Schizosaccharomyces pombe: one gene and its partners. The protein of the gene in region 1 binds, or shares a complex with, the protein of each later gene. Each region holds a gene or a part of one and is shown on either strand. Other genes may lie near its edges.

Evidence for each region.
Region 2: skp1 (region 1) and rav1 share a complex: the UniProt entries of both Schizosaccharomyces pombe proteins name them as parts of the RAVE complex.
Region 3: skp1 (region 1) and rav2 share a complex: the UniProt entries of both Schizosaccharomyces pombe proteins name them as parts of the RAVE complex.

The regions. Positions count from the first base shown.
Region 1 is NC_003423.3:1,134,793-1,141,970, forward strand, and holds skp1 (SCF ubiquitin ligase complex subunit Skp1), read left to right. Parts: upstream 1-5,335; 5' UTR 5,336-5,355; coding exon 5,356-5,404; intron 5,405-5,457; coding exon 5,458-5,505; intron 5,506-5,579; coding exon 5,580-5,947; intron 5,948-5,992; coding exon 5,993-6,013; 3' UTR 6,014-6,448; downstream 6,449-7,178. Other genes in the region: tif452 (translation initiation factor eIF4E, 4F complex E subunit isoform 2, stress response factor), read left to right, coding at 1-183, 274-413, 471-585; NifU-like protein nfu1, read right to left, coding at 2,015-2,797; protein Swi5, read left to right, coding at 3,264-3,272, 3,325-3,410, 3,576-3,738; MIS12/MIND complex Mis12, read right to left, coding at 3,956-4,735. UniProt on the Schizosaccharomyces pombe protein: Required for cig2 degradation in the G2 and M phases of the cell cycle. Together with pof6, essential for septum processing and cell separation.
Region 2 is NC_003423.3:3,518,924-3,532,191, reverse strand, and holds rav1 (RAVE complex subunit Rav1), read right to left. Parts: upstream 7,657-13,268; 5' UTR 7,520-7,656; coding exon 7,433-7,519; exon of another isoform or gene 7,318-7,432; coding exon 3,511-7,317; 3' UTR 3,347-3,510; downstream 1-3,346. Other genes in the region: SPOM_SPBC1105.13C (uncharacterized protein), read left to right, coding at 4-432; hhf3 (histone H4 h4.3), read right to left, coding at 2,114-2,425; hht3 (histone H3 h3.3), read left to right, coding at 2,663-3,073; ubiquitin-conjugating enzyme Ubc15, read right to left, coding at 8,508-8,566, 8,637-8,862, 8,939-8,968, 9,047-9,190, 9,273-9,317; EMP70 family endosomal transport protein Emp70, read right to left, coding at 9,794-11,484, 11,633-11,831; TREX/TREX2 complex subunit Pci2, read left to right, coding at 12,188-12,319, 12,386-12,543, 12,591-13,088, 13,144-13,268. UniProt on the Schizosaccharomyces pombe protein: Component of the RAVE complex which is required for stable assembly of the vacuolar ATPase complex V-ATPase.
Region 3 is NC_003423.3:1,861,041-1,871,517, forward strand, and holds rav2 (RAVE complex subunit Rav2), read right to left. Parts: upstream 2,108-10,477; 5' UTR 1,990-2,107; coding exon 1,126-1,989; 3' UTR 501-1,125; downstream 1-500. Other genes in the region: csc1 (FHA domain-containing protein), read right to left, coding at 1-59; trm141 (actin binding methyltransferase), read right to left, coding at 2,328-2,786, 2,859-3,146; protein tam8, read left to right, coding at 3,480-3,713; elongator complex subunit Elp6, read right to left, coding at 3,737-4,291, 4,374-4,568; palmitoyltransferase Erf2, read right to left, coding at 5,357-6,409; SPOM_SPBC3H7.08C (uncharacterized protein), read left to right, coding at 8,212-8,280, 8,350-8,401, 8,562-8,803; phosphoserine phosphatase Ser2, read left to right, coding at 9,294-10,091, 10,163-10,261. UniProt on the Schizosaccharomyces pombe protein: Component of the RAVE complex which is required for stable assembly of the vacuolar ATPase complex V-ATPase.

The DNA of each region.
Region 1 (7,178 bases):
GAGTTTTGGGGCATCTTTAAGACGATCTCAAAAGCTTCGATGCTTCCCGCCAAATCGGACTACTCTTACTTTTTGAAAGGTATTCGTCCTGAATGGGAGGATCCTCAAAACATGAATGGTGGGAAATGGGCCTACCAAAGCAAGCACAAAGGTTCAAATCTCGACGAGTTGTGGCTGTATATGGTAAGTCATGGTCTGTTCATTTTAACTGCTGTGATATCGACTTTACAGAATGTTAATTTTTAAGTTGAAAGTATTAACGTATGGAAATAGGTGCTGGCAGCCATTGGAGAAACATTAGACCCTACTGGGAAAGAAGTTACTGGTGTAGTTTGCAATATGAGGAAAGGATTCTATAGAATCGCTGTATGGACACGAAATTGTAATGACAAAGATGTTTTGGAAAAAATCGGGTATGTGAAGTTTTAAGAGTAACGTGTTGGTAGTTGACTGGACTAACAAACATGTAGCCTGCGCTTTAAAGAAGTTTTAGGGATTTCTGATAAAGAGACTATAGAATATAGTGCTCATGAGGATTCATCAAAGGCTGGTAGTATGCGAGCAAAAACCCGTATGAGTCTTTAATGATATCAAGTTTCAAGTTTTTATTTTTACTTTCTAAGGCTTGGTAAATTATAGGGGTGTTCATTTACGAATGACAATATGTTATTGCAATCATTGCCCTCTTGTTTTTGAGACCTCTAAAATACCAAGCTTATTGAGATGAGATAGATGCCTCTTTACAGTTAGTGTATTCGTATGAATAGTTTAATTTGTTATATTTGTTGAGCATTTTAATAGGCTAATGGATATAATCTATATTTGACCCTTCTCTTACGTTATAAATATTAAAATTCTATCAAGAATGTAAATATGCTAGATCGCCAAATCTTCCTATTATTCATAACCGCCTGTATATTAAACATTTATCGCTAGCTTATTTCAAGCTGAATAATGTCTACTATGATTTTACTATTTCCGAGGATCTAATGTAATGTTGGAACTAACCTTTATCGCTAAGGATCCATGAATGTTTGAATCAAACTAAAATTTCGAAATAATAGGCGACCTTCATTTCTTCTTATCATTGTCGAAATCGGATAACATTAATTAAGAAGATAGCCCTTTTAATCGAATTAATGCAGCGCTTAATGAGTACTGGGAAAAGTGGGGAAATTTACTTGCAACTTCTGTATGCTTAGAATTAGATATCTGGTGAAGAAGTATCTACAATCAGACTTTTCAATGTACTGTACGGAATATTGTCGAGTATCAGTGCACCACTTCAATTCCAAATCTATCGCTTCGCTTATACTCAAAGTTTTTTAAACAAATAAAGCTCAGCACTAACTTCATCATTTGGTTAATCAGCAATTAGCAAAGATGAAATGATTGACGAATATTTCGTAACGCTGATACAATCTCCCAACTCCAAACATAATTCGCTTATGTATACCTATTTAATAACCTAGAGCTTAATTGAAAATATACGAATGCATTACCACCTTTTCTAACTAGTCAATTTTTCGAGTATCGTTTTTTAAGCAAAAGAGAGCCAAAGGCTAACATTAACTCAACTCCGTTCTGTGTATCAATTCTCCTTTTCAAATTTCGAAAATAGTCATCTGCGTACAGGGACATCAACGAAACATTCCAACAGTATTTCAAAATTTTTACTTATTTATTTCATAAATATGTACCCTCGCTATTATTAAAACATTTAAATATCTCTGAATAATACAGGTGTTGATGAAACCTGTAGTTTATATGATACACATCTTCATTATTCGTACATAAAATTTGCAGTCGAAAATGAACCAAGAAAGTAACATTATATGATTAAACAAATCGTCTTATATAGTAGTATGTGTTTTTTATCGAATACAGTGTAAATATTCATTGTTATTTGCTGTTTTTTCTTAAAACTCATAAATAGCGTTTTGTTCGTCAATTATTAATTTCTATCACCAAAGTCTTTTAAATGAACCAAATTCCCTATGTTGAATGGAAAAAGTTACTTGTTATCAGCTTTCTGTTTGTTTCCGTTAATGCGCTGTTCAAATTTTTCAAACTCGGCAATTGCAACCTCCTCTTCTGGATCTAAAACTTGTACAACATTTTCCACTTCCGGAATGTAATGCTTCAGCATTTGCTGAATTCCATTTTTTAGTGTCACAGCTGATGACGAACAGGTTCGACATGCACCTCGAAGTTTAAGAGAAACGGTACCTGTCTTCTCATCAAACCCTCTAAATTCCACATCACCACCGTCTTCTTGGATAGATGGACGAATGCTAGTCTCGATCAGTTCTTTAATCATTGCAACAATTTGACTGTCGCTTTCTAATATTTGAGTATCGCTAGCCCCCTTTAGAGGCTCTTCAGAGAGTACTGGGCTTCCATTACTTAAATGCTCCATAATTACACTAAACACTTCTGGCTTCATTTGAGCCCATTCAGTTCCTGCTCCCTTGGAAACAGTAATAAAGTCCTTTCCAAAAAAAATGCTATCAACTCCATCTATATCAAATAGTTTCTGTGCCAATGGAGAATTCACAGTTCCTTGTCCTCTCATGAATTCACAGCTTCCGATAGTTGGAGGCAAGATATCTAGCCCTGGCAGGAACTTCAAAGCGTTTTCGTTCGGTGTCTCCTCCGATCGGATCCATATGCTGCGAATTGCTTGCAATTGGAAACGTGGAGTGAAAACGTTACCAGCTGAAGATACTGGTAAAAAGGTTTTCTTTTGGAATGCTGTCCTTAAAGATTGAAACGGCACAACTCTAGGAAATAACATGCTTGGAATCAAATCGTGCTTTATCCAATAAGAGACAAAATATTAAGACAAGTTCAGAATTTGAAACTTCTTAAGTATACACTTCAAACAGATGGGAAAATTTAAATGTTTATTAACAATTTTTAAATCAGGAAATGCTAATGTAAGCAATTCTTTAAATACATGCAAGAAGGCAATTTGTACATGGGCATACGAAAACCGATGTGATCCTTATACTTTCTTATACAAATTAGCGAAGTTCATTATATTGAAATAAGCCATTGTTCGTGATTCAACAATTTACTTGTCTTTCATCACTAATCTAAATTCTCTCTTACAAGAACAATAGACATTGTTTTCAATTGAACAAATCGGTAGGCTCCTGCCTTCCTCAACAACTTAATTTCTACTAGGTGTTCAAAAACAGATACCTTCCTAGTAAATTTCACACATCATTGCTTCATTAAGAAAGAACTGTTTAAATCGTATGGAAAAGGTAAGCCAACGGTACCATTGTTCATTCACAAAATACTGATGAATTACTGCAGTCTCAACTTGAGTCACGCGTCCATTTGCTTGAACAGCAGAAGGAGCAATTGGAAAGTAGTTTACAAGACGCTTTAGCTAAGCTAAAGTAAGTGTGGTAAAGTGATGCTAGAAATGGTAGAAAATATGAGTTATGCGCCTTTACGCGCGTTCAGGTTCATTTTGGGAAAAGCAATGTATTGCCGTTCCATCAAATCTATTCAAGTCATCATCAAGCTTGTCTCGTTTTATCTAATGTTGACAAATGATTTAGAAATCGAGATGCTAAGCAAACTGTACAAAAACATATCGATCTACTCCATACCTATAATGAAATACGGGATATTGCTTTGGGAATGATTGGCAAAGTGGCAGAGCATGAAAAATGTACAAGTGTCGAATTGTTTGACAGATTTGGAGTTAATGGGTCAGAATAATTATTATCCATTCAGTTATTTAGGAAAAAAGAGAAGTTAAACAAAACAAATAAAAATGTAACGGAAAAAGTGACAGAGACAATCCAAGTTTTCTTTATTAAGCATTACTTTGCTTTCGCTAGAGATCCAACGCCAATTCTTATATATTTATTATGAAAGTTTACGTAAACGATCACAATTGTTAGAACATCTCAAGACTTTAGCTAGTTGATTAGTATTAAGGCTCGTCAGTATGTCCGACGTCTTTTTCAGATGACAATAGCAACTTATGAATGTTATTTGCAGTTTCAGTATTGGCTGTCGATTCTAGTTTTGACAAGTGATGTGACCAAAAATCCTTTTGCTGGTCGATGGGATTAGATAATCGTTCGTAACCTTTTTCTAAGTAGGTAATTCTTTCATCCACCTCTCGTGAGTGTACAGTGGGAGAGGCTTCAACTACTCTTTTAACGGCATGCTGCAGATTACCAAGTTGATCAAGAAGGAAATCGGTAGTTTCTGGTAAAGTAACTTGCCAATTTTCGGGTACTTTGTTGAGAAAAGAAATTCTTTCCAAATGCTTTTCTATTTCTGTTTTTTTTTCTCTTTTCCTGCTGAGACGCATGCGAAGGTCACGACGTAGTTGCATCTTTACTACGAGTTTTTCTGCAGCCTCTTGAATTGCTTGATCCATGGCGGCGTCTTGCTCTGTTGTGATTGAATAGTCTACATCCTTTCCAAACGTACGCATGTAGCCTTTTAGCTCTGGTGGATAACTAAAAATGTTTCGAAGTGTATACACCTCGAAACCATCATAGTAACGATCCACCACACTTTCAAAGAGAACCTCGAACTTGTGTAGTCCTTCTTCTATTTCCTGTGGCGCTTTTTTAGCAAACCGCGTTTGTGAAAAGGCTTTATCCACACCATTTACACCTTTATATAACAGTTGGTTCGTAATGTTGATCACATCATCAATGAAGGAGAGAGGAGTGAATTCTAGTAACTCCACTAACATTTTTTAATTAATTCCTTTACATTGAAAACACTGATTAGCTTCCAAAGAGGAAACTAGTGAGTTATGATTTTTAAACGGCAAGTTGTTCTGCAATGTACCAACCCCATGTTGCATTTTGTCTGGTGTACTCAGATATGATAATAACGAGGTAAAAGGGATTTCCGTATATCCCATCAAAAAGTATGAATAATACATAGATTTGTTGCTGTTTTTATTGCTGTGAGGAACATATAACTCAGGCGATTAACAGTTTAGTCGGTTTATTTTGTTAGTTGCTTAGAAGTGTGGCTTTTGATTTGTGCTTGGTAAATCATTACTAGAGTTTCTATATCCTCAACTAAGCTCTAGTGGAGGAATACACTAATATTAACTATATTCGAATTATACATTAATAGTACGGACTCATCTTAAACCTCAATTTCTATGCTTTCTTTTATTATTCTTCAGTAGCCTTTTTTAGCTATCACGGTGGGATCGTTCTGCTATGCAATTTGATTTAATGAGGGTTAGCACCTTTTCCCAATATCGAATTAGTGAGTTCTGCCACTGTAGGAATATCAGCATAACTAGAAATGCTAACAGCTTAACTTTCATTCATCCATTACTTACATACATCAACAATGTCCAAAATCAAACTGATTTCATCTGACAATGAAGAGTTCGTGGTCGGTATGTAGAACGGAGAATGTTTTGAATTGAGTGAATTGACAAACTGTTTATAGATCAACTGATCGCTGAGAGAAGTATGCTTATAAAAAATATGCTTGAAGGTATGATCTATACAAGCGCTTGTTGAGTGCAATAATTATTATGGACCCTGTTACTAAAATCTCAATTTCAATAGACGTTGGTGAGATTAATGTCCCCATTCCTCTTCCAAACGTATCATCGAACGTTTTGCGAAAGGTACTCGAATGGTGTGAGCATCACAAAAACGATTTGTATTCAGGAACTGAGGAGGAAAGTGACATTAGATTAAAAAAGTCTACCGATATTGATGAATGGGATCGTAAGTTTATGGCCGTAGACCAGGAAATGTTGTTCGAGATAGTTTTGGCAAGCAATTATTTGGATATTAAACCTTTGCTTGATACTGGTTGTAAAACCGTTGCCAACATGATTCGTGGCAAGAGTCCTGAGGACATTCGGAAAACATTTAACATCCCTAATGATTTTACGCCTGAGGAGGAAGAGCAAATCCGTAAAGAAAATGTACGTTCCTTGGTACTTTATTAACTTAATTCTAACCGCTTGCAGGAATGGGCCGAAGACAGATAGTTTGTGGCTTTTTGTGTATAAAGTTTTTTGTCCTTGGATCATTAAGTGTAGTTTTCAGTGTAAAATGGGAATCTTCCCATCCACCTCATCATGCGCCTTTTTTTTTTTATAAAAAAAAAATTGATATAAAGTATACTGATGATTTTTTACTACTGAAGTTTTCACGATGCGTGCGATCACTTGATACTTGACGTACCAACACTGGTCGTATTAAGTCGCAGCAAATCAATTTCATTATCGCATATATACAAATGTACATTGATGAACATATTTTATCCCAACAAAGCACATTTCGTTATCTTTTACTGTTGTTTTAAGTACGTATGTGAATTACGATTTAGAAAGTTGAACTTACTATCCCGAATTGCTTAAAGCTTGCTTTTGTCTTGTTACAAAATAGGGATGTTCATCAATAAGATTATCTTTACTCTTCCATTCAATATGGTGAACGATTGGAGCTAATAGTCCTATGTAGTTTGCATTAGCGGTTTACTATAACAAAAAAAAAAAAAAAGAAGTGTTGTAATATAATAGCGCTAAACAATGAATTGTTAAAAAAATCCGATTCTTTTCTTAAAAATAGTGACAGCAGCTATGTAAAATGCGAATCGTAATAATATCAAGCTTCCAAATTAACAATTAATGATTGCGTGAATTTAGTTTACATTCATATTAATTACAAATTTTGTATAGAACAATAGAATTTTTGAACTCGTTACAATTAGCAAATAAATAAAATTAGATAATTAGTCAACGGTTTTCATCCCTTCAATATAGCTTGATAATATTTGTGAATCCTAACATTTCAATTTTTGGGGAACAGTTTATTTAATTTTTATATTTTTTTCGTGCACAATTAATAATTATATGCCCCTTAGTCTTTTAATGTTTTAATTTAATTTGATTTTTTATTATGAACATTTTAATGTATCATGGTAGATGTCAATATTTTTGATTGTTTTGAGTAAATTCAATTGACATTTTCAAAATTTCATACTGGTTTTTTATACATTACTTAAAGATTTAAAAAAGTACAGAATATTTCGATGTTGAATTTTAAGTTAACGAACCTGTCCGTTTGAGGCATGTAACTAGAATTTCAGCCAGAAAATCGGCGTTCAAAAAATAAAAAACTACAAAAAATTTAATTGATTTATTATTATCC
Region 2 (13,268 bases), 2.4 Mb from region 1:
TACATGATCACGGAATTCATCAAGTCGTTTTTACTTTTTTTTTTCCTTCCCTTCTTTCTTTCGATGCCGATGATCTTCGCTACTCTGGGGGAGTTTACCGACGATCAAACTCATCATTATTCCACGCTTCCGTCGTGTGACCTTCTCCTTATTCGTGGAGAAGTTAAAGAAAATGCCAGATGCTTCTTGCATAACCCAAAAATTAGTCATCAGCATCATTCTTTCTGGTCCTTAATAGAAGGATGTTTGGAGGCGCTGCAATTTGGCTTACTAGCAATTCTTCAGGGATTATTTTCTCAGTTTGCATGGGAAGCCTGCTCTTGTACCTTTGCATGCATGCTTCTTACTAGCGAACGTACTGAACCGTCTTATCCGTTTTCCGAGATTACAGAGGTCAGTCGTGGTGGGTTGCACTTCGTTAAGTTGAATTAAGTATGCTTAACTCAGGTGAAGTCAATTTGTCGATGTCGATGAGATTGGCTAGTACACGAAGGGGATGCGGAGCTGCTAAGCAGAGGAGTGATTTAACTATGAAACCAATTCGTAGGATAAAGTATACTTTACCGATCGATATGGATGATGCAGATGTAGGAATCAATTATTCTACTTTCTTGTGAAAAGCATAACCCATGTGTATTATTTTCAAACAAGTCAAACAGATGGATAGCCAACACGCATATGACTGCTTACTCAAGTACAAATGACTTTTAGAGCATACCAATTTCAACAGACTTTTATCACTAGTGCAACTATCTTTTTATCAGTTGTAGTCTTTCAAACATCAATAATCACTGGCATTCACACACGGCAATACCAATCATTATGTTATTACGAGAACAACTCGTGAACAAATGGATTCCAGTGTGTTCTAGCATACACATAAATGTCTCGTCTTTCTACTTTATTATTTAGTCGATGAGTGGAACAATTAATAAACTTACCATTCAATATTGCACTGACAAACGTATACTTTTTTATATTTCTCTTTCTTTTCGTAGGCTTTACGTACTTACTCTTCCTTATTTTCCTCTGCAACGAAAAAGAGGATTGGATTATGGGCTTCGTCAAACGTTACAATTACAGAGTAACCTTGTAATAAGATGAAGTAAAATATAAAGTAAACGACGTGTAGTGATAAAAAATCTGTATTTTTGTCAAAGTGAACTTAATTGTTCAACGCGTTCTGATGTCATATGCCCAAAAATAATTCACCTACCCAAGGTAATTGAAAAATTTGTCAATACAAAACGAATGCTTTATAAACACAAAAGAAAACATGTCAGATTAGAGAAAGAGTCGTACGCTCTCATTGCTGAAAGCTTTTTATCCTTAACACTTTACTGGAATTTGTTAGTCCCGTTGACTATGTGGTTGTTAGATACAGATTAGGTAAATTCATTTATTGTGGTATTAAGCAAGGAGCGGAAGAAAGTACGTACTTTTTTACATTGTTAAAAGTTTTATTTGACGAAATTACAACACTTAATAAGTATCTAAGTATGCGATCGAGCTGATTCAATTTGATATCTCTCAATTAGAAAGTTGCGTATTACCTCACAACTACGATGTACCGTACAATTCACAATCTTCCTGGCTATGCAACTGTTTGCTATCAACTAGTCGCTTAGATAACCTTCTTTAACCCCATTCACTAGACACACTTTCCCCATACCCAGAAAGATGACACGAAGAACAGTGTAACGCATCAACTAGGTTAATTTGCTTAAGGTCGCACAAACAATTACCTAAAGAAAAACTTGCGCGTTTACTATATTTGTACTACTTATAAATATCACGATACGATTCGGGTTTAATGAACATTATATTAATCATTTCATTCAATAAATGTATTAATCACAAATCCACGAAGAAAAATTCATCTTCTTGTCAGATGGAGTATTCAGCCGTGATACAACGCGATATGAAAAATTTCTCACAAAGACCAAACGCCTTTTTGTCTATGAATTGCACTAGCAAATTGATAATGCTTCTTCTGATATCGCCCAGATGAAAAACATTCTCGTTTGGCATGTATATATAGAATAGTTATAGTGTACACATAAAATTGATAGACTCGAAACAAAAAATTCGGAGTCGGCAATTGATATCGAATTTAACCACCGAAACCATAAATGGTACGGCCTTGACGCTTCAAAGAGTAGACAACATCCAAAGATGTAACAGTCTTACGCTTGGCATGCTCAGTATAGGTGACAGCATCACGAATAACATTTTCCAAGAAGAGCTTGAGGACAGCACGAGTCTCTTCGTAAACTAAAGCGGAAATACGCTTAACACCACCACGACGAGCAAGACGACGAATGGCAGGCTTAGTAATACCTTGAATATTGTCACGAAGGATCTTACGGTGACGCTTGGCACCACCCTTTCCTAAACCTTTTCCACCTTTACCACGGCCAGACATATTGCACTATTAATATTAACGAAATAGAGTTACTACTATAAACAGTGCTTCTATTGCTAGTAGGGTATGCGGCATTTCACAATATATATTAATGCGCCGTCCCTATTAACTTACGTCAATTTAATTAAAGGGTTAGGGTTGTGATCAAAGTTGGATGTAGGGACATATTTATACAGCGTAATCTCCCTATAATTTGTTTTTATCTACACAGGGCAATTATCAGAACACTAGAAAATAATGGCTCGTACTAAGCAAACTGCACGTAAATCAACTGGTGGTAAGGCTCCTCGTAAGCAACTTGCCTCTAAGGCTGCCCGTAAGGCTGCTCCCGCTACTGGTGGTGTTAAGAAGCCTCATCGTTATCGTCCCGGTACAGTCGCTCTTCGTGAAATTCGTCGTTATCAAAAGTCTACTGAACTTTTGATTCGTAAGCTACCTTTCCAACGCTTGGTCCGTGAAATCGCCCAAGATTTCAAGACTGACTTGCGTTTCCAGTCTTCTGCCATTGGTGCTCTCCAAGAAGCTGTTGAGGCCTATCTTGTCTCTCTATTTGAAGACACTAACTTGTGTGCTATTCACGGAAAGCGTGTAACTATTCAACCCAAGGATATGCAATTGGCTCGTCGTCTTCGCGGTGAACGCTCATAAGCAACTTTACCAAATTGTGGTTGCCATCTGATGGTGTGATTTGGAATCTTTTGGTCGTCTATCCCATTGTAATCCTTCCCTCATTTACTTTGCCTTTCGAAACAAAATTTAACCTTGAGTGTTGTGGAATGTAACAAACGATATGCAAGTCTAATTTTTTGTTTCCGTGAGCTGCACTATCTATTTATATTTTTGTTTTCTTTTTTCGAGTTATACCGCGGACGTTTTTATTTTCGAAATGTATAGAAATTTTTAATTCTCTCTTTACGTCCTGCGCAATTGTGTAAATGAAACGCTGAGGAACTTCATCTGTATTCTTATATGCTATTTAATAGTAAATTAATTTTTAATATCATTATTGAAACACGATAAACTAAGGGTTGACCGTATTTGATTTTTTGTAGTATTTTTAAAAACTCGTATCGATAATTAATTAATTACTCGAAGCTGAACGCAGATTCATTAAATTCGGGGACATCGTCCGGTGTTGGCCGGATATCTTGTCCCATAAGAGTTTTTCCAAGTTTGGGGGAGTCGTGAGTTTTTTCCACTGCAGACTGCTTGTCAGTTACCATATAATCCTCAGTTTCAAGATGAGCAGTTGCAGGATTTTTTTGGAATTTCCAATTACGCAAAAGCCCAAGTGCTATTAGGTCACATCCTAATTGGCAATACACATTAGCATTATGCAAAACAAATCGATATTCAAGACTTTCATCAATTTGCACGTTGCTGGATCTTAAACATTCATATAACAAAATGAAGGCAGGATCATCAGACGGAAACTTATTTCGTACGGGTTCGTTAGTACTATTTCGTTGTGAATCTTTATTTTCGTGAATTTCTTGGTCGTTTTTATCGGATGTATAAAGTTGTATAAAGTCATTATCGCTGACCAGCGAGCGAATGGGAGATACCAAACTTTGCAAGGCCTTTTTTTCCTGTTTTAAAATAGTGAAACTCCAATTGGTGAGCCATCTATCGTTTTGAGATACAGCCAAAGGAAGTACATACTCGTTTATTAGCCTCTTTAAGGTCGGACCATCGTCGCCTTCATAGACTCGAGTCATTGCGATGGCTAATGAAATGCTTTTTAAATTACGGATACATACTTTTGCGGCATCATAGCAACTATCTGCCAAAAGAAAAAATGCAGAAGCATAAAAATATCTGTGCTTGCTTAAAAGTGCAAAAGCATTCTTGGATGCAACCACTTTCCACTTCTTTTTTGAAAAGTCATTCGAAAGCAACTTAACCGTTCGAGCTGATTCCTTATGCCAACTAGCAAGACGCCAAAGATCACGAAATACATTTATTTTGTGTAGAGCAATGTGATATAAACTAACATTCTCTGGGTTCCTATCGTCAATCTCAGCGTAATGATTGCGAGACAGCTCTAAAAATACATCTTTCAGTAGCTGCTCATTTAGCCAAAACGGTATCGCATATTCTTCAACAGCATTCCATAACAATGGTTTTCCATGAAGCTTTTTAGTGTGGTCCAACAGAACAGCTTTGTTAGAGCTATGAAAAGCCCACGCCATCTCTCGGGTGGGCAAGCTTGTTAATTGACGTTGATGTTTTGATAAAACGTACTGGTTTAGCATAATGCAATATCTTTTTCCGTTGAGGTCCAATGAATCTCGCAATGCTCTTGCCTTATTGAATGCCTCGATTAAATTAAGAAGTAAAAACTGAGATGATCGAGTGAGGGTTTTGACTTTCTTTACTTTTAATAATGCAGTCAACTTCTTTATCATTTCATCAATGTATAATCCTAAATGCTTTGAGACACTGGTCTCTTCAAAATCCAATTCCGCAGGATTTAGAATTTCCGCAGAATTTTGGCTGAGACTTTTTATTAAAAGGTCTTTAGAAATTTCTTCGTCACAGCAGTAAAACTCACTGCAGTCCATATTTAAGAGAAAATGCATATCTACATCATCTTTCAAACACAAGTAAAACCTTAGCAAAATATTAGTAAATAGAAAGGGTTGGTTTCTAAGTAAAAGCTGCTGCAACAATTGAGGATGAAAAACTGGTAAAATTCCATTAAGCTGGTATGCAAGATCAAAAATATTTTTTGCGGAACGTTTCAATGATGCAGGGAACAGTAAAGACTGATCTTCGGGAAGTGAATTATCAAAATAAAAAAGTCCGTTACCAATGGCAGTAACTAAAGTCCCATTATCCAACCAAGAAGAGTCAGATATTAATGAATTTGTATATTCTAAAAGATTGTATCTACGAATACGAGACCAACATGGAATATCGTTCATATAAGATCGGCGATTTTGGCACAAAAGAATAACATCATGTAGAAAGCCAACAGCCAAGATAGAATGGGAATTGGGAGTAGAAGTCCAATCCAAGTCATTTATTGGTCCATAATCATCAAAAACAGAGGAAAATTCTTCCTTTTCAGAGAATTCTGAACTACGCGTGTCGAAAATTGAAAGTCGACGATTGTTCTCAGATACAACAGCAACTTTCTTGGATGTTGAGCCTTTGATCATAGTTGCAGATTTGATGCTAGTTTGCACTTTGGAAATTTCCGATATTTCCGCTTTATCGTCTCCCAATACTCTTGCCATCCAAGTCTGTAATAAACCGTCTTTTGATATTGATTGAAATACCTCTTGATCAAATGAAGATAAACTGCTCAAATTTAAAGTAGAAGACCAACCCATGACATCTACAGCCGATGCGATATTTAAATTCTTTGTAAAATTTACCCGATCTATAAACCGAAGTACAGCAGAACCATCATGAGCTTCGTTAGAGACACTCCAAAACCAGGCATGGCCTCCTTCCGTCAAAGCACATAGGGCGGAATTATCGTTGTTTTGAACAGGAAGAATAAAGAAGGTTATTATCGGACTAGTAGGGACTTGACGACATGTACAGAGAAGGGTTGGAGGAATTGCTTCATTGCAATGCCATAATTTTAAAGAATTTAAGTTGAGTACTGCTGCATATTCACCAGCATAAAGAGGTAATATAAAGTCAGATTCTCCAAGTAATAATCTGAACCTGCAAATTAACTGATTTTTCCCGTCTTGCGATATGTATGATTGAAACATACAGATACGATTAACATCTCGGGATACAATTCCATGACCATTAGAGGTTCTTGTTAAGCTTTTTATGGGATAATCATGTCCATAAAAATCGTAACTAACTCTTAACTCAAAGTCACTATAAAAGAAATCGGTAAGACTAAACATGTATTCACGGGCGGAATTTTGAAAAAATAAAATGATGTTATAATCGTAAAATTCGTGTTTTGAGGTCCTGTAAATAGGTATAAATCCGTCAGGTTGAAGAGCGCCTTTGGGAAAGTTCGTTGGAACTTGATTAATAAGCTCAAAAGATGACAAAGTTTCCTGGTCAATTACTAGAGAAAATATGTACAAACATTCAAAAGTAAATAGCAAAAATATATGTGGTTGTCCACTGGCCAAAGCCAGAAGCCTATTTAAAATGCGATCCTTATGCACTTGACCAGAATGGCGACTTATAGCATGTGCTAATGCTATAGTAAAATCGTCCTTATCAATAAAACAGCAGTATGGTGGTTGATCAGATTTGTAGTATTTTCTCAAGTTAAGAAAACAAGAAAGATGCATTAATTGAGAACCAAATCGGCTACCAACTTGCCAAATTCTTAGAACGTTATCATAGCCTACCGTACTCAGGAAGGGAGTCGATCCACTGGCGTCCGGATGAAGGTGTTTAGACCATTGGGAAAACCTTACGCGACAAGGATGAACAAGATAGCTGAAATCATCACATGAGCTAACTGTACCTTGAGGAGATGTTCGCTGCCAAACTTTAGCAAGTGGATTTTTTGTTTCGATAGAAGCTATAAAACAAGCATCGGAAGAAATAGTGCTACTAAGGAATGAATCCGAGATTCTGTTCTGCGACCAAACCAACCTGGGTTTGTCTTCAGAGAAATTTATAAGTTTAGTGTATGACGAAGCACAAAGCAACAGATCAAAATTGTATCCCCAAGATAGTTGAGTAATATCTTCAGAAAGCTGAGTTATATAATTGTAATGATGAGTCCATTTCAAAGAATCGGCGGGCTTATAAATATCCAAAACTTGTCCATGTGCTATTGCTAGAAACCCCGTACGTTGGTCCAAAGCCACTGCACCAATAGACTCTCCAAATTGTATATTTTGATAAGATTCGTAGTTATTTACAATAATTAATACGGTATAGCGAGTTCCAAATGTCTACCATTTAGTTAAACAATTACTTCAATTGGAAACAATACTTTGACATGCTGCTTTCGTTCTGCAGTTTAACCACTAGCAGACAAACGCATATCGTTTGCGTCCATTCACTTACTAATATTCGATTTTGGTTCCATTGTACATTGTCGTAGGCAGCTGTACGTTTTAGAGGTGTACCGGGATTTGTGAATGCCAGAGGCATGTTTACTGCAGAACGCTGTGCATGAGCTAAAATTGGATTTTTTTCGACTTGCAAATAGTTAAGGGAGAAATGACAATGATAAAAGCTATTAATATCTGATTTGACCTAATAGCTGTCTACGTTCCATATACGCATTTGAACCAGTGTGAACACCACCATACTGCGGAATAGCGTAATATTAATTGTCATTCTGAAAAGTTTAAGCATAATGCAATAAAAAAACGCTAAATGAAAAGGCAATGCTTTCACGGTTCTTAATGCAATTTTAATATTCATCTTAAATGGTTACTCTGAGTATTTAATTTTCAAACTCAACGAAGTTTCGCTAGATTCTTTAATTGGTTTGATTAATCATTGAATCAGTCATTCGGATACGTAGGAGACATTGAGCTAGTTAGTGTAAAATATAATAGACTGAGATTTATCGCTGCATTCAATGTATGTTGTGCAAAACGCGGAATTGAAACCGTCGCTGATAAAGTATGAGCGTATAAGCGAAAATAATTACTTGAATAGAAAATTTTCAATGGAAAACTATCAATTCACGAAGTATTAGCTGACGTTTGTTCAAAGAAAAAAATTCAATCGTGAAATGTAGATTTTTATTTGTTGTTTATCTAAATTATGGCTGTAATTGGTAAAGAAGTAGGATAAATCACTTGCGGTTGTAACACTTGAAAAACTTGAAAGCTTTATAATAAAAACAGAAAAGAATCAAAAGCTGTTAGTTTTAAAATGTCAACCGTTCTGCCAATATTTCATTATATGTGATAATAAATGAACAGTTTGCTAAACTTATTCAAAAAATGGGCAACGGCAATACTTCAAAGATGGCATAAAATATGCAATTCAACTTGTAAAGCTACAGACTTTTTGAGTAAGCTTTACTGCTAGTTGACTTAGGAGGTTTTCTATGCAGCGACTTGAATTTCCTTCATAGCCTTTTTTCTAAATATAGGAAATTAGGGACCTAGGTTGAACATTATCTTCAAATCATTTCAATTGACCTGCGAACAAGTCGACGAACTCTTTTCTTAAATTCTTGTGCTGGAAAAAGTTAGTACGATTTGATTATTAAAGAGTAAATTTTTTTGTTTGTAGGTTAGTATATACTCACGATTTTCTCGAAATTCCTTGGCAGCATCTATATTGGCAGGGGACTCATCATTAGGGGAAGAAAGCATGGAAATTACACTAATCAATATGGTTTCCGGAGAGTGTACCGGAAGCCAACGTTCTCCAGCATCCTCGTATCCATACTTGTCATCTCCTGGTGGGTGAAGAATCGATATGCAAACTTCGCCATTCGGATGAACATTAGGGTGCCAAATTTCCGTTGTGAACTGTTACCGTTAGAATCGTTTTTAGGCATAGACTATGTAGTTTCTATCAATTAAAAAATCAATGTATTTACTATACCTTCATCTTTGGAGGCATCAGAGGATAATCCTAATTTTTCGAGGTTAGTGACCAGCTTGTTTACCTTATACAACAAATATTATTTTTCTGTGAAACATAAATACATACTTGAGGAAACGATAATGTTGCATGGAAAAAACCACCTTCATATAATGTATCTTCTGGTCCAATGATCATAACTTCCCATTCAAAAATGGATTTATCATCGACTAAACCAACGCTAAAACCCTGTGGAGGATTTTTTTGAATTTCCTATATCTATCAGTATGTGTTCAAGAATTAAGATACTATGTACAATCATGAATATTTGGATATGAAGATTTCGTGCGCTTACCTTTAGTTGTTTTCGAAGAAGTTGTTCACTAGCAGAAGAAGGCATACTTCCGATATTTTAATAATTACGTTCTAAATATTTGGTAAACTGAGAAAAAGTAATATAAAGACAATTTTTAAAGTAGGGTTGAGCTGAAGGCGAAATACTGGTAGTTGAAAAAGGTTTGGGCGAGCTTCGTAAATATAGTTAGAGTAATATTCCTTTTTTGTATTATTTATGTAACATATAATAAAGCTTTTAACGTAGAAAACATAAATTTAATTTACTCTAAGTAAACATTTTGGTTAAGATTACAATTTTCAAATTTCTTCTATGATATAGTACCTAAGGTTTTATTACACAAAGTAAAACAAACTGTAGTTATATATTGGATGACCGAAAAAAAACGGCATATTCCTATGAAATTATTTGAATATAAAAGAGAGTGTTCTCCAAGTCATTTTGTTGATTAATAAGGTTTGTAACGGAGAAAGCTCAAATTGAACAATAAATAAAGAGGTATGTACAAATGCCTCGAATAATCAATCAATTTTAATGGACGCATAAATTTTGTTAACAAAGAGAAAGGCGCCAAAGAAACCAACCGATCCACATAAGAAAAATACCAAAACAGAAATCAGTAAACTATAGCCGAAATAAAGAACGGCAGTAGCAAGGGAAGATGATGAGATTTTAAAAAACCAGTAAAATACTGAAAATATAAATACATAGATTCCACAAAATCCAGGTGTTATGAAAGAGCGCCACCACCAGTTGTAGTTTTCGGAACACAATTGGAAATAAACAGTGATAATGGAAACCATGATACAAGTGGTTACTAAAATACCGAAGCAAAAGAACGAGAAACCGAACATGAAATACAATGGGTGAAACCATAAACTGTCAAGGATAGAAAACAATTCAATAAGGATTACGAGGAATGGTATAGATCCACCGATAATCGCACTAGGAAAACTCGAAAGCCAAATACTATGAGATGGAATTTGACGAGGGATTTGGTTTGTCCTAACAGGTGGGACGAACTCTCGAGAACGAAAGCCGATTAAAGAACCGACAAAGCTTAATGGTACAGTAAACAATAGATACAGGAAAATGAGTAGAAGCCAGCTTGAAAAGGGTACAGTTGATGATGAACTTTTACTCCAAAATACCATGTTAAAGAAAAGAGCTGCCGCAAGCATAAAACCAGGTACGACAAAAGGAGTTAACAGAAGATTTCGCTTTCTAAGCATACCTTGCATCAGTTTGTAGGATAATGCAGATACATAACCAGAAACGAAACCTGATATAATGAATAAGGCCACCGTTGCTGTAGCTAAACTTCCACGACGAGAGGGTGCAACAATGCCAAAAATTGCAAATAAAACGATACCAGAGCTCATAAAAAGAAGTTGTGCACCAGTCCCTAAAAGGATAGAAAATAGCATGGGTCTACGAGGTGGACGAAATACATCACCATGAACTAGCTTCCAACCAAAATCTTCTTGAACATCTTCTTGATCGACAAAGGCGCTATTATATTTATTAATGTCACGATTTAGCGTTCTGTACAAAATAATAGAAACCACAAAAATTAGAAATGTGTCAATAATTGCGGAATGGATAATAAAGATCCATCGAATTTGCCTAGATTCAATGTGCATATATTTGTCCCATCGGGTAGCCCATGGAGTATCGGAATATTTCCAAGAGACTGAGTAAGAGGTCACGAGAGTAAGATCAGCTCCTTCCGGTAAATACTGTGGATTTGAAGACGAAGAACAAACTGGGTTTCCATCAACTAAAGTAGACTCCTTTGAGACAGGTTTTACATAAGCACCCACAACACGGTGTTGGTCACTAGATGTCGTATGATATTCTATAACTATATCATAATGATTGAATAGAATTACTCCCTTCTCCGTATTCTTGCCTAATGGAAAGCCTGGCGATAATGAGTAGTTCTTTGAGTTAGTCCCTTCTAAATATGTTGCTACGGGCAGATTATCTATGTTCCAGTTAACAACGTAGTTTTTGGAGATTAAATCTCTAATAAAACTGACATCTGAACTGGGAATTATCGAGGCACACAAGGGAACACAATCCTGGTTTTCAAGCATTTTTATTTCAATGGGAGAGTTGTAGAGACGGTCGCCAAAAAGCACACTTCCAAGTGACTCAGATTGTTTTGCGATATTCTCTGGTCGACAGAAGTGGAAACGCTCATCGTAGTCTAAAGTGAAGTTAGTAACAAGCAAAAAAGTTCGAGAGAAAATGTTATATCCTTCATTAAATCATATTTCTATAGTGTTTTCCTAATTTAAAATTGTAAAGTTTTTAAAAAAACACATGAACCTTCATGTGAGCTATCAACCACGTACATTCATAATTAAAGATGTCAGAACCCCGTCCATCTCCAATAAATGGTGAAATGGTATTGACAGTTGTATCAATTGAAGCACCGGGAGGATAGTTTTTCGGACTTAAGGGAGTTAATTGAAAACTAAAACAGGTTTGGAGAAGAACGGAAACGAAAACAACAAAGCTAAATGAACACGAGGGAATACTAGGTAAAAGCATATTTTACTATTTCCCTAATTCTTGGCAAAGACTCGAAACAGAATCTTTTCAAACCGAGATGATTAAGACTAAATCAATATAAAGTGCTACGGTTTTGGGGATTGATGCTGGTAGCATTTAATTTGAGGAATGCTGCTGTACTCTTAGTATGTCTCTTTATTGTGCTATTAACAATCCTCGTATACCGGTTTACGACCTGCTAACTTTCGTTATTCGTATATGAGGTTCAGAACGTGAGAGTTGGAGAACATCGATGTAAGCGAAAACATATCTGTTGAGTTTTCTTGTTATAACTTATTTATCGTTACATAATAATTGAAAGTTTAGTACTAAAAGTTGCGAAGGAACAGGTTGGAATGTCCTTAAATGACTTTCTGCAAACTTTGAGTAACGCTGTTGGAGAGAAAAACTCCAATACGTTGGAGAAATGTATTATTTTAGATCCATCAGAGCCCTCGTTTCAACAGCTCAGTAAAACTCTTTTTTTGGTATGTCGCAGGCTTGCACTACAAGTAATTGTCTTCAGGTTATAACATTAACTAACCGTGATAAAGGATAGAAAGGGGAAAAATAAGTTAAACGGAACCATTCAAAAAGAATTTGGAAGAATAAGAGGTTGGAAGGAATTGGTAACTACCTATTTTGAGTACGTTGAAAATGCTGCATCTTCTCCTGATCAACGAAAATGGGAATTGTTACAAAACTTGTATAGGTAATTAAAAACTTTTTGTTTATTATTTCTCACTTTTGTTTTTCTAGTAACTTGACAACTTGCTTCTCCCATATCGATGGAGCATGGTTGTGTACAATTGTAAAACGCGTTTCAAAGCTTTATGTAAAGCTCTCCCTTCAGCTAGATACATCTACACCTACTTTAGAAGATTCTTTTGATGGTAATGGGTTCATACAGAGGAAATACGTGAGCGATGCATCTAGGAACGTCTTACGAACGTTCAATAGTATACTGAGTGATCGTCAACAAAACATTAACCCTTCGAAGAAGGATGCGATATTCTGTATTGCCAATTTACTTTGTTTACTATATTTTCGCTTAAAGCAAATTCGTCTTTGCCAAACTATTCAAGCTAATGTCATCTCTTCGGGTGCCGATATTTCTCGCGCTACAATGGCGGAATTAGTAACGTTTCGTTATTATTTAGGAAGGTGTCATCTTTATCAACGCAAAATTCATCAGGCAAAGGACCATCTACTTTTTTCGTTTCTTCAGTGCCCTGATGAGTGTTATCATCAAAAAAGGTATGTTTTATTTTACTCAAAAATAGGATTCGTTTATATTTACTAATCAAAAAAGGCTTTCTCTAATCTATCTTACAACGTGTTTACTTATATTAGGAAAATCGCCAACAAAAGGGCTATTAGAAAAATACAAATTGACTGCAGCATTCGAACCTTTAATAAAAGCTTTGAAAAGTGGTG
Region 3 (10,477 bases), 720 kb from region 1:
ACCAATTTCTTCGTTTGAAATGATTCATTTAATGGAGTCAATGTAATTACGGCAGACATACCATTCAGGGTGAAAGTTGAAACGTATCAAATGGGCGGATGTCGAAAGACGGTAGTAGAAGGAAATTGAATGTCGAGAGCGAAATTGTCCTTTTTAACCGTTGCGATCAAAATATACCACAAAAATCAAATGTTTAAAGGTGGAGTGATATTGAAAGACACAACGTTCAAGCCACCAAGGCGTGTGTGAGAATATAATTCATACTAGAATTATTCTCTTATGGAAATCTTGTGCATCTTCTGTCGCTTTAATACAATACAAATAATATTATATCTTCGTATAGTAATATTATAATTGCTTGAAAAGCATAAGAAGTTAATGTACATAAAAGCACTTTAAATTAACGATTAATGCAGCATAGTAACCTACTTTTCGGTTTCACCCATTTTAAGATAGTAATTCTCTCGTTTTATAATACATTGTGAAATACTTTCACGATTCTTGGTAAATTCATGCTTATAGTGTATCATGCATAAATTAGAAGTGTCATTATTTTATTCCTAAACTACATGGACAAAATGAATTGCAAATTGAAGCAAAGAGAAAGAAAATCTTCAATCGAATATTTAATCAGATAGGCTTAAAAGAAGTTGTTAATAACTTCTCCGTTGATGAAAAGCAAAGCTATAAGCTACAATAATGGGAATAGCTTTTCTCGCTCTCCACTACTATAGTTCATGTACAGTTGTTTCTTTTAAATGCATCATATATAGGTCGGAAAATTAGGACAGAAAACACATATATCGTAAGTAATGGATAATATATACACAAAGATAAATCTCAAAGAAATGGATGTTAACTTCAATAAACTTGACATATTGATTCGTATGTGGCATGCGGATATGAAGTAAGTAGAATGCAGTAAGGTTAAACGAATGAGATCCAAGAGAAAAAGCCAAATATGTAGATGAAATTCATAGAATACAAAGTTAATCATGCAATCAAGCGAAAAACTGAACATAGTTTCAAAACATAAAACCAGGGAGATTCCCAATATCAAACCATTTATAACTGCTTAGGCAATTGAACAGAGAGCAAATCAGTACTGCCACTGAAAAATTCAATTTATTTGGCACCATATAAAGAAGAAGAAATGGTTTTAAACCTATATGAAACGTCGTTAACCTTTTTTTGTAACGCTGAAAGTTTTGCCGTTACTGCCAGAAGAATTGGATCCTGAGAAAAAGCATCTATTCTTTGAGAAACAAAAGGTTTAAGCATTTCTATATCTACGGAATTTTTTGCAAAAGACTCTAAAACTTCATTGGGACCTGAAAGCCTAAATAAATGCAGGCAGACTGAAGCATTTGAAATGCTGAAGCTCAGAGCTAAATTAGAAGGAAGAGGAGGTGAAAATAAATGATTACGAACGGTCTTGTGTATTTGACGAGGAGAATGGTTAAGGCAACTAAAAGGGTTGCTTGTTCTGGAGACAATGGAATTTTGACTTTTTAGCGATATACTGCTGGCATTGGATGGGATCTCCTCTTTTTCAGATTCCTCTTGCATGATGGAATGAAGTAGACATACAATCGCATGCAAAATTTCCTGCAATTCCTTTATGGCACGTTCTGTATTATGTCGCAATCGGGGCAAGCAATATAAAGCGTAATGCATATAATTACTCAAGTTGAGTATTTGGTCCAAATGAATAATAGCAGAATCTTTCAGCTTTAAAACATGCGTAGTACGACCAACCTTCGCTGTGACATTGACACGAACTACGTTACTGCTGCTTCTTGAAACAATCCCTTTGACGGCGTCGGTTTTCGGAGACGTGAAAACTAGGACAGTTGGATCATCGGAAGAAATTAAATTCAATGCTTCCTTTAACCCTTCCGACATAGATTCCCAAAATTCCGGTAGCACATTAGTCTCCAACCACTCTTTTTCTTTAACGATAACAGAAGCATCAATTTCCGTTTGCATAATAAAATAGTTTACAAACGGGATTTATAAAGTAGATATGGTGTTATATCATTCCAAAAAAGTTGAAACAAAAATATTTAAAAGCAGCTAACGCTGAAGGTGGGTAGTAAGTAAAGTTATACTAGTCACTCGTTGATAACAATTAAATAGCATATGCGAGTGTAGTTTAAGAAAACAAAGATTTTCTATTTTTATTAATTAAATTATCAAAAAACTAAAGTTACTGTCATAAACCTTACAATAAAACTCAGGACTCATGTCTAAAACGGATTACATTAAAAGCCCTATATAAAAGAATAAAAAATACGCAAACAAAGAAACTTTTTCTACCAAAGTATTCACAGCTTTTTCCAAACTCCTTGTAAAAACGTACGCTTCATATTTAAGTTACGCTTTCGGTTGTCAACGGTGCGATTAACTCGATCTAATGTTACTAAGCCAAACCCGGCGCTTTTCATCCATTCAGCAATATCTTCTTCTCGAAAAAAAAGTGATAAAGTTCCATCCTGTCTAACGAACGTCTGTTCATCAATCATAGATGGGTCACCGCTTGTCATGAATTTCTCTTGAGCAAAATCGCCATCACAGTAATCACGAAACACCAAATGCCCTCCTGGCTTTATGACTGAAGCCAAGTTCTTAATAGAACGAAGCTGCTTCTCGCGTGGAATGGCAGATAATACAAAGATGGCAGTTAATGTATCAATGCAAGCAGAACCCAAAACTTCAAGCAAAGAATCTTCGGTTATATCATTAACAAAAGGAAAAACTCTATTTTCGTTATAACAGGAATGCTTCTAAATTAAGACAAAGGTTAGTAAATTAAATATTTCAGAGCAAATTGGCATAAATTTAGTAGCTCTCCTTACCTTCACAAAATCTATAGCACGAGGACTAAAATCACAGCAGTATATCTTCAAATTTGGTTGCACTTCTAGCAGAGGATAGACGAGGTTTCCAACACCGCATCCGACTTCAAGGATAGTCAATGGCAACTTATCGGGCAATCCAAAATAACAATCGAATTCACGATCAAGCCAGTGTCTATCTTTGAAAAACCTTGTTTCATTTCGCTTGTAAAACTTATCCCAAGACTTTTTCGACTCCTTTTTATATTTTTCAACCCAAAAATCACTTAATTTTGATATACCACTCATATCTCCTAACAATTTCGTAGCACGGTCTTCTATATGTATGAAAGATGTTTCAAAATATTACCCAACCCAGTAGTTATTCCAAAAAATGCGATAAAAAATTTGTATGACAACGATTTACCCTACAACCTTCAATGAATACCAAACTGGCTCGATCAATTTTTTTTAAATTAAAAAAGCACTATTTTAAATAAAAAAATAACCAAACCTAGTTCGTTAATTCCAAATTCACAAATCAATGCACACTGTGCAGAGAGCGTCTTGTTCTTCCTTGTAAACCTACACCTATACCAATTCGCGCGCACCTTGTGATACTCGCAACTCTACAAATATACAATGAATAGGACTTCAGAAAGTGTGGAACCTCAACAAAATGAAAAAACAGCAGTGCATTGGAGCAGAGAATGGGTTCCTGTTGTTGTAGATACATATTCTAATGAAGATGATGAGGATAATGAAGAAGGAGATGAATCCAGGCCTCAACGAACATTTTTAGTAAAACGGTGGGTGCAAGATAATGTACAAGTGGAAAAGAAGGGAGACGAAGAGACTGCAGCAGCAGATAATTGAGAAAAAGTAGATGAAGTAGGAATTTAGAGTTGCAGCGTCACCTGCCCTTTGGAATATACCTTAGCACCTGCTTCCGTTACCTCGTATAAAAGCTCCTTGTCATCATCCTCCGGGGTCTCGCATATTCCACTACGAAAGTGATTTGGCATTCGAGAAAGACGCAGGAATCCGGTGATTCGTCGAGCGCTACCGCTAGTCAAAGGCCGACAGGAAATACATCTAGTTGCCATGTGTCCGATTGAAGAGCCTAAAGACTTTTGTTGTGGTAACGGAGCTCCCAAAGTCACGTTTACAATGACTCTACTGAAACATTTTCGTAATTCCAAAATTGCCTGCTGAATCTTTGTGGAATCGAGAGCATGAGTACTTTGTAAAATATCAATATCTTCTATGATGATCGTGGAGTTTTCAAATTCAAAATCGTTTTCCTCCACACATTGGATCACAGGCGCGAAAACAGATTTGATGTGATTTTTGGTTTCTGGTGCTTGTACCTTCGAAGGCTTGGAAATAGGAGCAAATAGCATGCTGAAGCCATCGATAAAGAAGAAATTTTTTTTCGTTTTAATATCCATTCCCTAATATTGGTTCAGTAGGTTAGTCATACGAATAGTTTATCATTCAACCACTTATGCAATCGTAATCCCTCTTTTTACATACCCATTTACGCATACTAATTGCATGCTCATCTAAGGTTTTACTGAATGTTAAAAAACAAGTACTTTCCTTTGCTTTCAACGCATGGTATAAATAATAATGGAACAGAAATGTGACAGGTGTTTCTCTTGTTCCCAGTAGCAAAGTTAAAGAAAAAGGCTCAGGAATGGGGCGTAAATGCTCGTGTAAAGAAGACATTAGGTTTAAGAGCCGTTTGTCATTAGTTTTATAGCCTAACTACAGTAACCAGCTTTCCGAATGGTTGTAGAGGGTGAATGGAAAACACAAGCCTGGGAACGGAGCAACATGAACCAGAGTAAGAATGAACAAGCCGGTCAGTAATGCAAAGCTAGTTCTAATATTATAGAAGTTTCAAGTATCAAATTAAAGAAGTCTAATACCAAATTATTTTCCAGAAAACTATCCTCTAAATGTGGATAAGCTATTTCATTAAAAAAAGAAAAACTATCTACCTATGGAACATTGATTTGCCTAAAAGGCAATCATAATAATAAAAAAGAACAATAAAGAGCAAATCCCAATAAATTAGACTGGAAAGGGGTTTAGCTAAAGGAGGTAAAACCATCTATCTATCATATAAGTCATAAAAACAAGCAGCATTACTTTAAAAATAAAAGAGAGCAGCCAAATTAAATATTAATAATTCCAGAGATTGGTGAGAACAAGGAATAGTTTTATAAACATTTGTTTCTGTACATTGTTCTCTGTAAAGTACAAAGGGCGAGCTGAAGGGGTCGACGACAAGGATGAAAAAAAAGAACAAAACATTATCCAGGTAAAAATTTTGAAGAGGGGAGTAATCTTTTTTATTCCGGTTATTAAAACCAAATTAATTTCGGTACTGAAAAGTAAATTGGTAAGGGGAAGATGAAAGAGTGTAGCATATATGCGTGAGCGATTTGAGCATTATTGTCTAGCAAATAAAAAATTTTTATTTCTTATTTTCTTTGTGAAGCCAAGGCATATTACACGTAAGACTTCCTAGTGGGACGAACGTAACTCACATTTTTAGGACGACAAAGGACAACCAGAAAATTGAGCCATATGCTGTCATGAAAAGGATGTACATCTTCAGTTTCTGTACTCTTTGCTCGTAAGTATTCATGAACATTCTGACCAACAGATATTAAATAGCACTGGTAACAGAAAAGGATGCCAGGAAGTATTGCTCCAAGTGCCCCATAAATGCCAAGGAAGAAAGATACGCCAGCCCATGGACGACGAAGATGCGCCGCAAAATTTGTATCTGTGGATTCATGAAAACTTCCTATAGAAGTATAGAACCCCAATCCAGTTAGATACAAAGCTGAAAGAACGACAGATAACAAAAAAATAAAATAATATCTGTAGTTTCGACGACCAATGCAAGTGTTTAACCAAATGCAGTGATGATCAAGGTATTCAACACAATTATCACATAAATGACAATGGCTTGCACGTGGAGGACGATATAAGTGGCACGTATGGCAATAAACTGTATTAACAAAGACAGAGTCAGACCGAGTGGATCCAACAAGGACTTTACGGTCTTCAGGAATTACAGACCAGGGATGGGCAGGGTTATAAGTTAAAGAATATGCATTTCTAGGAAGAATTCCTGGATCAGCAGTCGAGCACTTGAACATGGAAACAACGGCTAAGGCATACAGGTAAGCAAAGGTAATAGGGACAGCGGGAGAGACATGATGCCAGAGCCAAAAAGCAGAAAAGATGAAGAAAAGGACTCCTGGAAGAATCAAGGCAAACAAGCTAATGAGGAAAGCTTTGTACTGAGATGACATTTGCAATCGACCACAACATAAATAGATATTGTTTCCTGGTAAATTCTTATATCGGCTTTCAATATGCGGTACTTCCGGAACATCATCAGGAACGGATTGAAATCTATAAGGAATTTGGTTCTTTTCTTCCAAATTCATGGGATACGTTGGATCAGACAAAGTCACCTCAAATGGATTCCATGGCTGATTCCACGCGTAGCGGGATGCCTTAGCATCACTGTGTTTCTCATAGCTCATGATTATATTCTCTAAACAACAAACATGGCAAAGAAACAGCTATTTTTACACCTGGTATTATATCTTGTAGTTTTGTTGTCGGTAAGGATATGAACCCCTTTTGCGATGGAGGGTGAAGTAAATATTAGCATCCGCCAAAGTTTGTTTACTAAGCAAATAAAGAAATCAAAATAAATAAACAATTAGAGAATGTGACTCTAATAACTAATATTTGGAATGGCGCCTATTTAATCGATGAGAGTGTATTAAAAAGAGAAGGGAAATAAAAACAGAATATGAAATGAAATGCTAAAAAAAAAAATACTAACCGAAGAAATAAAATTAATAATAATAAATAAAGTACTTATTTTTTTTTTACGAATAAAATGTAAAAAAAATTATTTAAGAGTGCCAATATATTAGTATTTATATTTTTCAAACTTTTTATTTAAATATATTTCATCGATACTGTAATTGGAACATCCTGTCAGTACAACAATTCAGGGCTCAAAGTTAGAAAAATCAAGTTTAATAAATTATACTATCCGTGCAATTTCGGGTTTGTAAAGAAAGTGGATAATATATGGAAAAATTAGTAATATATGACTCGATAAAGACTCCAAAGACTAAGATAAAAGACCAATATCATGGGAAGTAGACTAGCTAGTAAACCATTTTCATCTTGTGTATTATGTTTTTTTTTTTTTTTTTTTTTTTTAAAATGGCTAAATAACTAGCAGGAAAATAATGGGAGGGTGTAATTGAGAAAATATTAGAAATGAAGGTACGGAAGCAACGAAAAAAGATCTTAAAAGTTTATTAGAGTGTTGCAACTATTGAAATTATGATTATCGCGAAGCTATTAATGAAAGGGCTAATTTAAAGGATCATCTCTATACTTTCACTAGCCCCGAAATAACCCAATAACCTCTATGGCTTGTAAACAAATAACTCAAGAAACACGGTATATGGTCAGTTATGGATGAAATTTTGAAGAAAAATTATTACTAATCTACATCTAAGAAAAACCATCCTGGCTTCATTCACTGTATTTAGTGGAAATGTAGTTCACAAGATTATCGAATTAGATTGTTATTCCTCAATATGCATGACTCCAAGCGGTCCTTTGGTTTTATTTCCTGTTTTAAAGGGAAATGAATTAAATTCTTATTCCTTAGAAAATCTCAATGACGCTTTTAAACGTACTTGTACATTGGACCTACTTTACTGGAGAAACATTTGCGGTCAGCAACTACTATTAAGTTACTAACCTCATGGCAGCTAAATTTTGAAAAATGACTATATTTATTTATAATGGTACGAACCATTTTTATTTGTTTGCGAAGTTTTTTAGTGTTCTCTTCTTATTATTTACAAATATAATCTTAGGAAAAGTTTAGTAAATAAGTGTCCTAACAAATTCTATAGTATAATACAAGGGTAGAGGTAGTATCTGAAAAGTATTATAAAACTGTATAAAGCAATATAAATACAAGGGCGGTTCGATCCCGATTGCAAACGCTGGAAAATCTAGAAATATTGGAAAGTTGCTTCTTTCACCACTTTAGTAGAAGGAGTTGGTGATTATTATGATATTATTATCCATTCAAATTTGAATCTCTTAATGCGCACCGTTGCTACGTCTTGTCTGCGTCAGGTGGCGATCCCCATAAATATTGATGCTTGTCATAAATGTTGCGAATGTTCGCCTACGTATTTCATTTTGACATTTACAATCATAAAAGGATTTTAGATCCTTTCCATCTCGAAACAATTAATCAAACTATTCAAGCGAACAAGAACTTTTTATTTTTGGAACCATCATGTCAATTATGCGCTCAATTATGTCGAACCGCCTGGTTCGCTGGTCAAGAGAATATCCAGAACTATTTGTAAGCTCAATTTTTTTTTGAAAAATATATTGAGTTGATTATTTCGTAAGCTGATCAGTTTGCTGTTAGATAACTTGGTGTGTCATGACTTATACCTTTGGAGTTGCTGGTTATATGCTTGGTATGTTAAAAATTAGTAGAAAATTAGAAATCAGCGCAGTTAATGAAACATTATACTCAATTTTAATATTCTGTTAAAATTTTCCTACAGAATATTTATTTTACAAGCGCATTTACATATGATTGTTTAAATTAAATGATTGTAGCTAACAGTTTTTTAGGACAGCGGGGCTTGTTGGTACAACATGAAGATCAAGTCCGAATTCCTTCAAAAAATGCTCACCCCTGGGAAGACACCAAAAGCAGTAGCGGAAAAAGTGATGAGAGTCTTGATTATAGCTACAAGTATTATCCTCGAGGAGATAGGAGTAAAGAACCTCGAAAGGCACCTTCTGCTATTCAATACAGCACTTTTCCCGTTAAAGGTGTATCAGAAGAGGTACTTGAGCGATTCTCTAAGTAAAGCACATTAAATTGTGTATAACCTTTTAGGAATGAAAGAGAACAATTATTACATTGCCAAATATTTTTTTAGTGCTTTTTCACTTTACAAATATCTCACTCTCTACTTTATGGTAGGCTCTCATTTTTGGAATATTTGCCCTGATATATTGCAATATTTCCAAACATCTTCTTAGTTATGATTTCTTGCTTTATTGCTTTAATGTATAAAAAAAATATTTGCTTATTAACCTGTGTTTGAAAACGGAGTTTAGGCACCACTTTACCAACTTCACAATTTATACAGCATTTTGAAGATAATGATAAATTTGTAAACAATAACAAAAAATAAGCTTGTTTGAGATTTTCAAATAACTTAAATTGACCTAGTACTTGTTGTCGTTTAACGTTAAGCTTAATCAATAGCCGAGTAATTAGTAAATGGGACTTGCCGAAAACAACGCTTTTCAACTTAGAAAATTTAGCAAACCCACTCATACCTTTTAATAAGCATGGTCAACGCAGCCATAGTTGTTTCCTCAAATCGTCCAAATGTGCTTGAACAGATTTCCTCCTTGTTTAGAGATGGGAAGACTCGTTCTCTGGGGGAACAGTGGACTTTAGTATCAGGCCAACTTAAAGGAACGTTTGAAGATGCTAAAGACGCTTGTAACCGCATTTCTGCTACTGAGAATGTAGACTGTAATTGCTTGAGTGAAGCAACATTTTCCACTAAAAAGAAGCTTGTAGTATTTGACATGGACTCGACGTTGATTCAACAAGAGTGTATTGACGAGCTCGCGGCAGAAGCAGGCATCCAGAAAGAGGTTGCTACGATTACATCTCTTGCAATGAATGGGGAAATTGACTTTCAAGAATCACTTCGTCGTCGCGTTTCTCTACTACAAGGGTTGAGCGTCGATGTCATAAATAAAGTCATTGGCAAAATTACTTTCACTCCAGGAGCTAAACAGCTTTGTCATTGCCTTAAGCAAATGGGTGCGACTCTTGTTGTCGCTAGTGGTGGATTTGTTCCAATGGCTGAATATGTCAAGGGACAACTGGACTTGGACTATGCATATGCCAATGTACTTGAATTTTCCGATGATGGTAAATTCCTCACTGGAAAAGTTCAAGGTGCAATTGTAGATGGACAACGAAAAGCTTCCATTTTGCGTGAAAAGAGGGAAGAGTTGGGTTTAAATAAGCTCGAAACGATGGCTGTTGGGGACGGAGCTAACGATTTGGTCATGATGGCCGAATCCGGTTTAGGAATTGCGTTCAAAGCTAAACCCAAAGTTCAATTATTGGTATGTTCGAAATTTTTTTACAAATTTATGTTTTTAATGATCTTACTAACTCGATTTTTTTTTTTAATTAGGCTGATTCGAAAATCAATCTTCCATCTTTGCAAAACGCTCTTTACCTCTTGGGTATTGATGAGCAACAACAAAAAAAGCTATTGGAAAACAAAAATTAATTTAGAATTTCCAAGAATTTTTCAATCGCAAGGCGCTGTCAAGAACTCTGAGCTACTGTGGCTTGGTTTTTATAAAGCAATATTTTACTTGTGCGCGTGGTCTTTTTTTCTGTAGTAGGAGCCGTCTTTTATATACCCTACTTCTTTATTTTTGATACTCTTATTTTTCTTTTTCCTTAATTTACAATTTTGGTATGATCAATGCTTCATTGGAAA